Notamacropus eugenii: one gene and its partner. The protein of the gene in region 1 binds, or shares a complex with, the protein of each later gene. Links are inferred from orthologs where the notes say so. Each region holds a gene or a part of one and is shown in the gene's direction. Other genes may lie near its edges.

Region 1 (7,886 bases):
GGGGAGAGCAGGAATGGATTGGACCCATGATTTCACTGGTAGGAAGCTCTCAGTGAGGGCCTCCCTCTGCTGATGTAGATCCATACCAGCTCTCCAAGTTAGAGAGATGGGAGTTTGCCTGGGGTGGCCTGCATGTGGTAGAACTGGGGCTCTACCAGTTCTTTATCCACTAAGCCACCTTGACACATAGTAGGTGCTTAATAAATACTTGTTGGTTGATGTGTGTCCTGATATAAATGTCAAACATTACCTCTGTGAATGGGGTAGTGAAAATTAATTAGATCCCAGCACAGAGTCCTTGAATTTGAGAGCTGACAGGGACTTTGAGTTCATGCAGTCCAATACCCCATTTTACAGATGGGGAAACTTTAATTTGGATGTTCAAAAATTTTTACCTCATGTAAAATGTAAAAAGAAAAGCAGTGGCAGTTGAGGTGTGAACTCTGCCATCTCTTTGCTCTGGAGAGGAGCATTTGAACATCAAAGGACCGTCCATTCTAGCTCTGTGATAACCGACCAATCAACTCTCATTTACATAGCAATTTCAAGTTTACAGAATGTTTTTGGTTAAACTCTTTTGAGATAGAATCCATCTGGAAGAGACTTGAGAGATCAAATAATACAACCTCATCAATTTACAAATGTGGAAACTGAGGCCTAAAGAGGGAGAAACAACTTGCAGGGTTTATTTCACTTTGTGTGTCTTCATATCCACAGCTACTCTCTTAGCACCTGGAATATGATCAGTACTTGATAAATGCTTGGTGATGATTGCTCAGGGTCATAGGTAGTCAGGGGACAAAGCTGGGATTTGTGGTTTTCTTCTCCCTTAAAACCTGTGTCCTTTCCTAAGCTTCATTTTCTCCATTTACTAGAGTAGGACACTGAAATTCAGGTGAAGTAATTCACTCAGGTTTACACAGCAAGTCAGAGTTGGGACTTGAACAGTGGTCTCCTTGGTGTCCCACTCTTTTAGCTATATTATACGCTTGCTCCAATAGGTATGCCTTTTGAATTACAAGTACCTGTACTGTTTTTTTTTTTGGTAGGTGTGTGGGGGGAGTGATTGGTTGTATGACTGTTAATCACATAGATTCCCTAGAAACTGCATAGGAAAACTGGAGTCACTACTGTGACCTATAGAAATGGTTTTCCAGAGAATATGCCTGTGTATAAAAATATTTGCTAGTCTTGGCAAAAACAGCAACAACAACAACATGGAAGCTCAAACTGGCATCTAATAATTTTTGTTAGCTGAGAATAGGCAGAGTAGTCTAATGGGTAGAGATGCAGTCATGGAATAAGGAATACTGGAAGACCTGTCTCTGACATATCCTAGATACCTGACTCTGGAAAAGTCACTGAACTGTTCAGTGTCCCCCCAAATGCTCTAAACTCTAACTTAACAGATCTGTCACGTTGCAGGGTGTTTTGATGTTAAAGTATGTGTGTGGGAAGAAGCAAATTATAGTTTGAGACCAAAAAAGACTTTCAGAGAGCTCATACTGTGACAGTCACACAAAATAAAAACAACTATTCACTTTAAAAGATTCCAAAGGAAACTGAGTCAAAACATACAATTCTGGATAGCAGAAGTGCATATAAAAGAATAGATAAAAACAATATAGTGTTTTAAGGAGCACATCCCTCACTCCTCCCACCCCAAGATAACAGATAGATCTCTATCCTTGGTACTCTTCTTAATGTGGTGAAGTGATAATGTCACATTTTCTTCTGGGATTTCTTCTTTAAATCAAAACTGGAGAAGTTAAACTTGTTCAACTTGTAAGCATCAGACAAACGCCACGCATGTTTCTAATGAGTCATAAATGGTTTGTAAGCAGCCTTGGTTGAGAAAGTTCCCACCTAGACATCCCTGCATGCATATACCATACAGTCTATTGTTATCCATTTGCTGAACAAACATTTACAAGGCACTGGCTTCCAGAAAGATCATTTCCAGGCTTGTAGCATTTTTCCTATGTTAAAATATGGTCCAAATGCACCCTGTGGTTGTAACTACACAAAGTGTTTGTGTTTGTGTGTGTGTGTGTGTGTGTGTGTGTGTGTAACTGAGGCAAATTGGATAATCCAAGAACAAAACTTATTTCTGACTGAATTTAAAGGGTGTGGGTTTGAATTCTGGCTCTGCCATTTACTGTAGGAGTTTGTGCAAGTCACTTCATCTCTCTTAGCCTCAGTTTGTTCCTCTGTAAAATGGGAGGTTGGAGTAGTGAACCTGTATTGTTCCTTTCAGCTCTAAAAGCAGTGACCCAAAAGTCTTAGTGCATTTTAGGGAGCTGTCCTCCCCCCAACCCCCCATATAATCCAAATAGTTGGTGAAAGGTCTTTGGGGAGGAAGATATCCTGAATTATTCCAAAAAGATGTTCACCCTCCTTGATTCTCCATGTGTAAGTAGCCTTTAGTCGAGCCTCCTCATTTTCTAGAGGAGAAAATGAATCGTAGAGAAGTGAGATCACACTGGCAGTGGCCAGAGCAGATTGGAATCCCATTCTTCAATGTAACTTGCAATCCAGCATTTCTCCTTGCAGCTGACCTGGGGGCCACATGCCTTGGACAGCCCCCATTTGGCAGCCAGTCTTCTGGAAAGAAAGCCCTGATTTAGTCAATTAGAAAAAAGCCAAACTGGAGAAGGCTGCCAGATAGGGTTTCAGATATATGGCATGATCTGCCATACCACGCACTAAAGGACACCAGATTTCCAGCCACCTTCAAAAGCTTTATGTTTGGGGAGGATTGTTTTGTTTTCAGAGTCTTACAGGAAAGGCTCAAGCAAGTGGCCAAATCCACTATTTATGGCTATAAAATTGGCTGTCCCATGAACTGTGGGGCGCAGGTCTGGTAAATATGCTCAGAACCTTTGTGAGTTGGGGAATATTGAGAGTTGTTTGGATACTGCCCATCGGTGGAGTCCTCTGTACACAAAGGACCATCCAGCAGACAGAGTGAGGGGTGAGGGGTGGGGCGGAGATCAAATGTTTGGCAGAAAAATCATGCTAAATACAGCATCTCCAAACAGAACCCCCAGGGAAAAAGCTAAAATGGGACTTTTTATTATTCTTCCAGAGCTGAAGTAGGGGCAGGGCGAAAGGTTGTGAAATTCATTTTACTGCAGGGTCTCCTCTCTTCTTTTAAGTCTCTGTCTTCAGTCTCTCGGTTTCTGTGTCTCCTCTTCCTCACCCGTCCCCCACTCCCTCCCTGTCCCTGTCTCTGGGCTCATTGCTGGGTCTCTTATGAAAGCAGATTTGTATCACGGTCCCGGAAACTTAGTTTTTTTCGGAGAGGGAGAGTGCGGGAGGAGATATGATGTTGGGAAGGGTAGGGCTTATTTTTAAAATACACTTTTTTTTGTACCTCAGCAGTGATCTCCCTCTACCCCATGACAATTGGAGGGAGTAAAAGGATCTTAAGAGACCCTCTGATGGGCAGGAAGGAGGGCCTTGAGTATGGCAGGAGTCAGAAGGGAGAAACAGCCGCTTCGCCAAGCGTCAAGCCCCAAATGTATTCCTCCTAGGCTGCCCGAGGCATCTCCATCTCTTTCTATTTCAGTTTGGAGGCGGCTCAAAGTAGGTAGCACGACAGGCAGGGAGTGAGTCGTAGACAGTTCTGGAAAGGGGATAAAACGGGGAGAGGGGGAGGAAGAGTACGGACGAAGGCTTTGCTCCATCCATCGGCATCTACTCTGCTTTTGCATCGCTCCCTCAATCTCTTGCAAGTTTTCTCTTTAGGTGTGATTCACCTGCAGATGGGAACATAGGGCTGGCAGGTGAGGTGTGTGTGTAAGTGTGCGCATGTGTGTGTGTGTGTGTGTGTGTGTGTGTGTGTGTGTGTGTGTGTGTGAAGGCGCACAGCCCTGGCACACTGGGCTGGATACCGGCGGGCAGGGAGCCGCTCTCCTTTGCGGATCCCAGCCTCGGCTAACATTCCTCAACATCTCCGGCGTCTCCAGCTTTGGAGCTGGACAAAGTCAACCGTGAACAGCAGGTTGTTCGCTCGCCTCATTTCATTTCCCCAGGACGGGCGCAACTCCTCCAGGGGCTCACTTCTCCCCGCCTGGAGTGTGCCACCCCACCCACGCCGCGTACCCCATAAATGCTGTCTGGCTAGCTCCGCCTAAAACTCCCTCCCCGGGGGCCAAGGAGGCACTTATCTGCTCTCCTCCTCCGCTGGCTGGAGCTCACTCTGTTTCCTCCCTCCCTGGCTCCCTCTCTGCCTGCCAGCCACAGGACCTCGACCAAGTCCAGTACCCTGCTTCCCTCCCTGTGCCCTCGCCCTCCCCTCATTTTCCCAGTCCTTTCCCACCTCTGGTGGGGCACAAGCTAGCGCTCAGCTCCGCCCCCCTCGCCAGGGCTCCAGGGCTCGTCTCCCCCGCCCCGAGAAGCGGAATCCGCACAGCGAAAGTCTCCAGGGCGCTGGGCGGCCGTCCGACTGGGCATGCTCCGTGGCCCCGCCGGGCTGAGCTCGGGAGTGGGGAGGCAGCAGCGGCGGCGGCGGGAGCGGGAGCGGGAGCGGCGGCGGGCGCGGGGGCCGGGGCCGGGGCTGGGGCCGGGGCAGCCGTAGAGGCAGCCGAAGGAGCAGCAGAGGCTCAGCGGCGGCCGCCGAGGGGGCAGCTCAGGCCGCCCGTCGGGAGTGAGCGGCTACTCGCCGCCCGCTGCCCGCCGCCGCCGCTGCTGCTGCCGCCTGTGCCCGTGCCACTGCCCGTGCCGCTGCCCGTGCCCGGGCTGGGGCCGGGGGCCGGGGGCACCGGGGGGAGCAGGAGCGCCCGCGGCAGCGGCGGCGGCGGGGACTTTGCCCAAAGTTGCGGGGGGCACCGCGCCGCCGAGCCAGCGGGGGCCCGGGGCCAGCCCCAAGGACCAGCAAGCATGGGCACGCTGCGCGACCTGCAGTACGCGCTCCAGGAGAAGATCGAGGAGCTAAGGCAGCGCGATGCGCTCATAGACGAGCTGGAGCTGGAGCTCGACCAGAAGGACGAGCTCATCCAGAAGCTGCAGAACGAGCTGGACAAGTACCGCTCGGTGATCCGGCCCGCCACGCAGCAGGCGCAGCAGGCGGCGCAGGCACAGCAGGCGGCGCAGCCCGGCGGCGGCGCGGGGAGCAGCGGAGGCGAGCCCCGCACCAAGCGCCAGGCTATTTCAGCCGAGCCCACTGCCTTCGACTTGCAGGACCTCAGCCACGTGACGCTGCCCTTCTACCCCAAGAGCCCCCAGTAAGCGGGCTGGGCCCGACCGGGGGAGTTGGGGGGGTGGGGGGAGGCTTGGGCGCTGTCCCCGGGGGGCTGGGAGGGAGGTCAGGCGTTCGCGGGGCTAAGCAGTGCGCTGCCCCGCAGGGAGCTGCCTGGCTGGACGCTCGGGGCTCGTCTGCCTTGCCTAGGGGCGAGCTGCCTGCACGCCTGGCCGCCTTCGCGATAGGGGTTCTCACGGCTGCTTCTCTCTCTCCTTCGCATCTCCCTAAAGAGGGACCCACCGACACTTCTGAATGTCTCAGTCTGTTGCACATCTCCAGTCCTTCCCTCCCTCCTTTCTTCCCTCCCTCACTCATCGGTTGCCTTCCTATCTGCCTCTGCCTTTATATCTGGCAATGACAGTGTCGAGAGGGAAAGAGAGAGGGAGAGAGTACTAGGGACCAACACATAGAGAGACAGAGAAACATAAGACAGAGTGAGGGTCAAAGTGGGCGAAATGGATAAGGAGACCGAAATAAGCGTAAGGAGAGGGACAGAGAGATCTCATTCGGAGAAAGCCGAGAGAAATCCCTTGGAATTGAGGTTTCAGAATGGACAGATGTGTGTATATGTGTGCGTATGTATGTCTGTGCAAAGAGGAAGAAAAGAGTGAACTTTCCTCCTCAGTTATCCAAGTCTCCAAGCAGCCAGAAGTGTCCAGCCGAAAAACCTGAAATGGCCAAGATGAACTAGACCCTCTCTGGTTCACTACGTGAGCCTCTGTACTTGTCTCGAATATCCCTCCATTGTTGACTGATTCATGCCGAAACTATCTGGATCCATGTTTTCTATCATAATTAAGGAATACATTTATCTACTAGGTAGTTCATATTTTTTAAAGGGTTCGATTTCCTGATATAATTTAACTTGCTTCAAGTAAGACAGAGGCAGGCTGCTAATTGTAATTGTTCCTTCTAAGGGAGAACTGTGCTTAGTTCCCGTGGCATAGTTGCTTTCCTACAACGATTGCATTACTTCCAGTGTGAAACGCACATTAGTGTGTCAGATCTGATCACAGTTGTAAATGGACTGGTTGTTGGTCTTCCTGTGACCGTTTTCACTACTTTGATCTGTCTTGTGCTGGCATGTTTTAGCCCTGGATGACTAGCCCTGATCTCAGTGGCATGAGGTAATGTGGAGGGAGGGAAAGAGAGAGAGGGAAAGAGAGAGAGAGAGAGAGAGAGAGAGAGAGAGAGAGAGAGAGAGAGAGAGAGAGAGAGAGAGAGAGAGAGAGAGAGAGAGACACAGAGACAGACAGACAGACAGAGACAGAGACAGAGAGACAGAGAGAGACAGACAGAGAGACAGACAAAGAGACAGAGAGAGATAGAGGAAGGGGAGGGAGAGGATCAGAGGGATAGATTCAGTTGAAATCAGGAAACCAAATCCCACAATTATATAGCATATATACAATAAGAAACAACTGGCCAAGGAAGGATACAGTACTTCAGTAAACATGTGACATGACTGGAGAAGGCAGGATATTGCCATGCTCTATTTTGGCTTTGTTTCTTTCATGTAAAGAATTCCCAGTGTGCCAACTCCTTCTACCAAAGAAGGTTTGCAATTCACCTGTAATTTAAAGAGATAGAGAGTTGAATTGCTGGAGGCAGAGAGATTAAGTGTCTTGCCTAGAGCCACCCAATTAAATGCGTTGGGCGAGGATGGTGTAGCTAAGTTTTTGTCCATTCTGACAGTTTGTTTGCCTGACAGCTCAGGCTTGGCAGTTGGGGGCACCTAAACCCTCTTTAGCATTCTTTGCTACTTTGATTCTCTGCCCTGACTTGCATGCCTGTTTCATGTAATGAGGCACAGAGTGGAACTCAGATCTAGGGCTTTGGTTTTCTAGCCACTACATGGTGCTGCCCTCATCCTATTCCTAGCCATGGAGTACTCGGTAGGTGATGTGTTACATAATACTCCGTATTCCTTTCATTACACATGATACAACAGGTTAATTTAAGGGGAAGGACTGGGTGTTTGCTTTTCCCAGCCTTTACTGATTTGGTAGCTTGGAATATCCTCCTTTATGTCCAATGCCACTGATGCCTTTGTTGCTCATGTAATTAAGGATTGCAATATTCGGTCCTCGACAGCCAACCTCAGTCTGCTCTTCTTGTCCCAGCTTAAGGAAAAACACACATCTGTGAGGGGGTGAGGAGAGTATGGCTAAGTTAAGTGTTTGTCCATGCTGACCTGATTGCTTGCCTGATGTCTCTGGCTTGGAGAGCAGAGTGACCTGCACCCTCTCTAACTTTGTCTGTTAAATTAATTCTCTGCTCTGACATGCATGCCTGTTTCATCTAATGATGTGCAGGGGCTATCTCCCTTCTGGTTCAAGTTTGCATAATGGAAAAGAAGTCCATGGGTATGATTTTCCTGAGCTGATTGTGGAGTGAGGGCAGCCTGAGGCCAGAGCTTCTGTAGGACTTGAGGCTGATGCAGAGGGAACTGTGATTTTGTATTAGGAAGGGGGAAATGGCAGTTGTTTTCAGAAGCCCAGTGATCAATTCAAATGATAAGTAGTGAAATAGTCGGTCAGGGAGTATCTTTGGGACTTTAGGAAGAGTATAATAGTGTGGCTAGCAATAAGAAATGGAAGAGTTTGCTAAGTCTGAGATGCTTCTTACTGTGGAGCTTTCG
Region 2 (7,345 bases), on another chromosome or scaffold:
CACACCTCTTTTCCTTCCCTTTTCTTCTGGGACGTTCTGGAAAGCACAATAGTTGCTACCTAAGAGCAGCTTTGCAGAAGCACATGGCAAGGCAGACATATTCTTGCCTGAGTAGCCTGAAAGGGAAGTTCCCAGATCAAGTTGTTTCTGGACCTTTGCCTTTAGTTGTAGAAGGTGGGGGGGCGGGGAGGGGAATTTCACAGGCATAATTCAGAAATCTGTCCTAGCCAGAGAAGAGAGATTTCCTGGGCAATACCAGTATTAGAGGTTACCTTTGCAGCAAACCCAAGCATAAGAAGAGTCCTAGAATCTAGCCTTAAGACAGAGCCTTAGAGACAGAGAAGAGGATCATGAATCTGGCTACTGGTACTGGGCAGAACAGTGGCAAGGGACCAAAAGCCACAATATAGAGGACCAAAGGGCCTGGAATTTGTACTCTGCTATTAAAGGTAGCTATGCAGACAGTGAAGGTCATCTGGAAAGTCAAGTGATCCAACAGCACCAAATTTCCCTTCCAGGGGGAATAGTCTAAGACTACTAGGTCCAGAAAAAAATCTACACAGAAAGCAAAGATGGTCCAATGAATCTGGGGAGCTAGGGGAAGGATAATACATTCTCTCCTGTGGGAAGAGGGACACACCTGAATATTGTAGGGTAACCCCACCAGGGACCTCAACTAAATATTCCTTTGGAGTCTAAACCACAGGCAGGAGCTTCTGGTATGGAGGAATTTAGGACCCTGGTGGAAAAAAATTCTTTTGATAGTTTATGAGCTATTATGAGTGGTTTAATGTGTGTTCTGAACTTGTTTATGGGCTCCTGAGTCCTTTGTATTCTCTGCATTCTGCATGTCTTATTGAGGGATAAAATAAAGACTACTCTACACTGGTTAAATGCATTTGCCACCTTTAATACTTGTAGGGGATCTGAGGAGCCTTTTATATACCATTTGTAGACCTAAATGGTATTCAGAGATTTCCTGGAGTAAACTCTGGGAAAAGGAGAATATTTGGGCCAGGCCCCAAGATCAGACCAAGTCTGTTTAAAGAGATTGGGGGTAGGGGAAGGGTCCTGGAGGGGACACAACTATAAATATTACTTAGACTCTGCTTTTGAGGAGCTTACACGGGTTCTGGGTTCAAATAGTGACATTGCTACTTGCAAACTAGGTGATCTTGCTGCAAGACAACTAAACTCTTAAGAGATAGAGAATGGGTCTTAGAGTCAGGAAAGACCTGGATTCCAGTCCAGTCTTAGACCAGCTGTGTGGTCATAGGTGAATCTGTTAACCTTTTGGTGACCCTCTTAGACGGTAAGTAGGGGATGAATTGCAGACCTCTATCAATGGGAGAAGTTTCCATACTGACAGTTTCCTATCACAGTGAAATCACAGGTCCAGACTAAAACAAACAAATAAACAAACCAAAAAAAGAAATGAAACTGAAGGGATCAGACTATGTTATGTGATTGCTAAGGTCCCTTGCAGTTTTAAAAATTATGAGTTGGACAACATAAATATCACACATGTCAACAGAGAGAGGTGAAGAAGAATTTAAAGTTAGATAAAATTTCAAATAGAAAAAAAATTAGAGCTCATTCCCCAACTAGAATATAAGCTCTCTGAGGCCAGGAACTTGTTTCCATTTTGAATTGGTGTCCCCAGGTCCTACCATAGTGCCCTTCACAAATAAATGCTTGTTGGATCATTTTGCAGGTGGAGAAACTGAGGCCCAGAGAGAGGTTAGGTGACTCGTCTATCCTCAAGCCATAAAGGTAATGAAGTAAGTAGCTTACAGTTCTAGACTTGGGGGCAAGGCCTGGGCCCTTCTAGCTGGTCTGATCTGTGACCCCAGCTTGTCACCTCTTTCTTTCTCCTTGCCTGGGAACAATGTAATGAGCCCTTTTAGAACCAAAGACAAGAGGGATGTGTGTGTGTGTGTGTGTTTGCCCATTCATCGCTTTATAAAGAGATGATAAAACCTCTTACTCCATGACAGGGTGACCACCTGTTCCTTAGTGGGGGTGGTATGGAAGTGACAATGCCTATTGCTGAAGGAGGGTCATTACTCAGATGTTCTAAATGTACATTGATGGTGAATCACTCCAACCTTCCCAGCATCCCACTCCCCATTATCATAACTGGAAGCACTTAGCACTCTTCTCCCTTCCTATCAGTCATCTTCCCATTGTACCAAAAAGAAAACAGGTGGAGAGGGAGGCTTGTGAACATCTACAAAAGACCTCTCATCCTACCCACCAATTAGGGCTGTCTTCCAGGTTTTCTAACATGGCCTCTATACCCAGTGTTCATAGAGCTTTATCAGATTATGCTGAAATCCCTAAACCCCCCTCCACTAATCCTCATTAAAGATGAAGACCGATTGGGAGGCAAGGGAATCCACAATCATGGTAGAAGAAGAGACAATTTTGTCCTGGGGTTGGGGGCCTTGGTTTCCCTGAGGGGGGGTGGACACTCTGGAGGGCCTCAAAGTGGGCCTTTCCAGGGGTAGTGGCAGTAGGGGCCTCAAGGGATCACATCCTCCAAGCCAGGCTGATGGTGACTTCAGAGCTGAAGAGGTCCATTCTATAAATGGTGAAGCATACAACAAAAAGAAGAGAGGGAGGAGAGGATGGCCCACAGCCCTGACGCTGACGCTGTGTTAGTCACCCACAGACATCATGTCCAAGGGATTTAGATTGAATAGCCTTTTACCCTGGTACACGATCCAAGTTCCTTCCTTCGGCTCATTCTCATTCTTTTGCACAGTACTAAGAGTTGGGAGTGGCCTTAGAGATAATTTAGTGACCTCACCTAGGGATTCCTCACCTAGGATTCCCTGGACTTGTTTTTAGATATTTTGAGAAATGTTTTCCAATAGGATTTAGCTTGCTTTGTAGCCCTACGTACTTGTTTTATGCATTTCAAAACAGGATTTTTAGAAGAGGTCCACACACAGGCTTCACCAGACTGCCAAGGGGGTCCATGACTCACAAAAAAGCTAAGAACCCTATTTTAGTCCAACTATTTCATTTACAGATGGAAAAACTAAGGCTAAAGGAGGTAACACGCCCCAAGTCTCATGCTTAATCAGTGCCAGAGCTGGGATTTGGATGGAGACCAACTCCAAATTCAGGGTTCTTCCTACTGTACCCCACTACTCTCCCTTGGTGATCCCTTTGGAGGGAAAGTTCCCTCTCCTTGTTCTGAACACTCATGGCTTCCCATCCCCCCTTCTCCAATGCAAGGGCAGGATTCCCAGAAGGGGAGAAAAGCTGCCCAAGGGGAAAAAAACCACAAGTGTTTCTGCAGAAAAAGGAGAGCCTTATAAGGTGGAGGGGGGACCACATAAAGTCCCCTCCCCATCCCATCTCCCAGGGTGCTGAAAGCTTCCAGGAAGCCTGAGGGGGACCCAAGACTCAGAAGCCAAATTGGCCCTAAAGAGCCTGGGTCTTGACTTGGGCCAATTACTCCCCTATTCTCCCCCTTACCCTTTCTGCTGATCCACAGATGCCCAGGAATTGAAGGCAATGATGGGAAGGTCTTAGTCCTCGAACCCCAAAGGGTGGAGGATGAATAAAAGGAGGAAAGGGACAGAAAGAGAATCAGGAGAAAACAGGGATTGAGAGAGATATAAACTCATCAACTAAGACAAAGCTTCTAGAACGCAGGAAAGATGTTGAATAGGTGCTTAATAAATTCGGGTGGGACTTAACTGCCCCAGAGACAGTCTTTGACAGCGTTTATCTCTGAGTTCATCTCTGTCTCTCACTATAAAGTGACCTCCATCTCTGGAACGGTCACAGAGAGAGACAAATAGACACAGAAACCCAGTACAGAGTGCCAGACATGGGCAATCCATAGGGTTAACCCAGCCTATGGGGGGGATGGTGCCTGTTGTCTCAGACTGTCCCTGTCCCCAGCCCTATTCCCGTCTCCAAATGGCTAGGTCCTCCCCAGGAATTCTCAGCTGGTTACTCTTCCACACTCCCCCCACCCCCCTTTCTGGGCTAAGAATGACTATAGCCGGGCCTCCCCTCCCCTCCAACATCCCTCCCCCCACCAAGGTGGAAACAATGACTGCATCGGCTCCCAATACCAGGGGCCTGACATCACGGGGTTGGGGGAGGGGGGTGGGGTGGGGGAGGGGGGACTGGCTGACGTGGGGGAAGGGGAGGGGGGGATTGCTTCTCAGCCATTGGTGGGTCCTCTGGCCCAATGAGACAACCAGCCAGGGCTCATATGGGGAAGCCCAGAGTTCCAGCTTTCAAAAAGTTGCAGGGAAAATTTGAGGCCACTTCAGCAGCAGCAGCAGCAGCAGCAGACAGGCACCAGGAGAAACCCAGGCCAGGCTCCCCTCCACCGGCAGCAGCACCACCAGGATGTCTACTGCTCACTTCAACCGGGGCCCTGCTTATGGACTGTCGGCTGAGGTCAAGAACAAGGTAATTACCTTAACTCTATCATCTCGCTCAGTTTACCCAGGGTAGGATTCTTAGTCCTTAGCCTCCAAGGGAGAAATGTCATGTCCCAGGCCCACCTCCTGCCTTCCAGGCTCTGAGTTTCTTCCTCCTCCTTCAGTACTCCCCAGCCCCATCACTCGCTCTGGTTCTAGGCACCTGGAGGGAAGGATAATAAGGAGACTAATCCAGGGAGCCAGGCCTAGACCAGGGAACGAGGGCCACTGTCCTGAAGACCAAATGAGGGTCATTCTTGTCCAGCTCAAGCCCTGGATCTTTCTACCCACACCCAAATGAACTACCCGCACCATTCACTAGCTTCTGAAGTTTCTGGTCCAAAACCTGCCAGTGAGGAGTAATGGGGGCTCCCCAACAGTGATGAGATCTGAGTGAGACGAAGAGGAGAGGAAAGGAGAGGGTTTGGAAGGTGGAAGGGACAAGATGGAAGATGGAGGGGTGGAAGGGTCAGGGGAGAAGGATTGGAGGGGAAGGAGAAAGGGCAGAATGGGCAGAGGGGAACAGGAGACAGAGATTGAAGGGTCAAAGGCCTAGGCGTCGAAGGACTGGAGCAGGAAAAGGGTGCAGGGGAGAGGGCCAGAGTCTGGAGAAAGAAAGTTTGGATGGGCAGTAAGAAGGAGGGGATAGAGAAGAGAGGTTAGTGGAACAGGAAGTCCAAGACATGTCTGAGGGGTCTAGGTTGTGGGGTGGGTCCTGGTGCCTGAGGGAGAGAGGGCCTCAGCTGAGTAGGCCTTTTGAGGGAGTCCGGATTTGCTCAAACACCAATCTCATAACACTCCTCTTGGGAATATCTCCTCCCTAGAAGCCCTTACCCCCTGAGGACAGGATTTTGTGCCCTACTTTGTACCCTGTAGTTCAGCTTTTCACACCCATTCTCTTGTATAAGGTTAATCTTAAAGAGTATGGTGGGTGAAAGAAGGAAGAAGGGGATAGATTCCCCATGGGAGGAGAGGTACCAAACAACTAATGGTCCAGGAGAGGCAGGATCCTTTCCCTCAGCATCCCCCATCAGCCCCAGCTGAGGGCATCCCTCAGCTCCAGGGCCACCTGCAGGGAGATGCCTTGACCAGTAACTGAGAAATTTTAACTCTTCCACTATCCCTCATCAGACAGATATTAAGTCCTGGACCCCCGAACCCCAACATGGGGAGCAAAGCTGAATCTCAGAGGTTCTGAGTGACAATGAAAAGGCAAGAAGATATTAGGAGGCATTGGGACTATTTGGATACTTGGTTCTGAACTGTTATCATGAACTCTTCTAGAGCTCTGGGTTAGAAAACTCCCAAGGAGGTAGATCACCTTGTCACCTGCTTGAGCTTTTCCTGTTCTGGACTCCCAGGAGAACAGACTGGCTATGTTTTTGATGACAGGTGGCTGGGAATACCCAGAAAGGCCAACCTGTTGATAATGATGGCTAGCAGGAATCATCTCCACCCCATCCCCCAACAAGAGAACATGGGAGGCTTAAGAAGTTCAGACTGACTTCCAATCATTGTAGACTCCTGTTTATCCTCCAAATCCCCCAGGAACCTTTCTTCCTGGGTCTCAAATAACCTCACAGAGCAGCACTCTTCCTGATAGCCCCTGTCTCCTTTTCTGATGGAAAAGCTCAGTTCTTTGGAGAAAGAAACTTGGATGGGGGGAGGAGGATTGATCTTGGCTGGTGGGGCTGATGTCTTAGCTGGGTGGGAGAATTTTAAAATCCCAGACCAGCAGGAAAGGATCTTAGAAATTATTTTGTCTAAACTTCCTCCCTTCTCAGACAAGAAAACGGAGATTCCCCAGGGAATAAGGGGTCTTCCCCCCTCCCCCTCTCTTCCCTGTATAACAGAATTGGGAGAGAGGGGGAGGGGGGAGAACTTGGACTGCCCATCCCCCACTGGGACCCAGCTCCAGACTACCCCCTCTCTCCCTGGAGCACCCGGCAGAGCAGCCTCTCCATATAAGGATGCTCTGGGGGAAGCTGGGCAGGGAGGCCCAAGCTCTATATAAGGGCTGGTTTGCTTTATAAAGCAAACCGGAGCTGGAGGAGAAGTGGGGGCTGGGGGACCAGAGGGAGGGGCCGTTGTACAGGCTGGCAACGGATGCTCCTCAGGCCAGGTGAGTAGGAAGAATGGAGAGCTAGGCCCCTCCCCTCTTGTGGGAATCTGGCCCAATCCTTCCTCCCCCTCCTCCTTACCCCACTGCCCTGCCAGGGGCAGATCAGGCACTGGGCACCCCCTGCTGGCATGTTGGAGACTAAGGGGGCAGTGCTCAGGGCAGGCTTTCTACTTCCAACCCTCTTACTCCCTCTATCCAGGTCCAGAAGCCTTGGGGGAGGACCTGGGAGGTTAGTGGCCAAAGTGGGTGTTGAGATAGCCAGAGGACTTGTTTAGCCTAGTGAGATCATGATGGCACCATGTCTACATACTCTGTCTGTTAGTCTCTCTCTCTCTCACACACACACACACAAACACACACACACACACACACAAACACACCTCAAAACCCAGCATTGCCATAGGATCACCTGTCTTAGAAGCTATCAGCCATCTATGGAATTCCTGGTTGAAAGACTGGAAATGACTTCTCAGGATCTTCTCAACTCTGAGATCCGGAGATGTAGTTACAGAGGACTGGAGATGGAGAAGGTAGAGAAAAACAAGCCCCAGAAAGATGGCCAGACACATAGCTATCCTTGCATACTAACACACACACACACAGAGAGAACCCTAGGGAGAGACAGGGAAAGAGGAATGGGAAGGCTGCAGAATTAGGACATGCACAGTGAAACCCAGTGGTTGGTATGACCTCAAATGATGCTTCTGTGCTCAGGCCTTCTGCATTAGGTCCTCTGTCAAGACCCATGCTCAAGAAGGGATGAGAAGGG

What was found.
Region 2: PRKG1 (region 1) and CNN1 share a complex: the UniProt entries of both Homo sapiens proteins name them as parts of the cGMP kinase signaling complex. The link is inferred for Notamacropus eugenii from reciprocal best matches to the Homo sapiens genes PRKG1 and CNN1.

What each region holds. Positions count from the first base shown.
Region 1 is NC_092872.1:278,293,630-278,301,515, reverse strand, and holds the start of PRKG1 (cGMP-dependent protein kinase 1), read left to right. Parts: upstream 1-4,780; 5' UTR 4,781-4,884; coding exon 4,885-5,228; intron 5,229-7,886. UniProt on the Homo sapiens protein: Serine/threonine protein kinase that acts as a key mediator of the nitric oxide (NO)/cGMP signaling pathway. GMP binding activates PRKG1, which phosphorylates serines and threonines on many cellular proteins.
Region 2 is NC_092875.1:78,383,285-78,390,629, reverse strand, and holds the start of CNN1 (calponin-1), read left to right. Parts: upstream 1-4,266; 5' UTR 4,267-4,380; coding exon 4,381-4,443; intron 4,444-6,524; exon of another isoform or gene 6,525-6,576; intron 6,577-7,345. UniProt on the Homo sapiens protein: Thin filament-associated protein that is implicated in the regulation and modulation of smooth muscle contraction. It is capable of binding to actin, calmodulin and tropomyosin. The interaction of calponin with actin inhibits the actomyosin Mg-ATPase activity.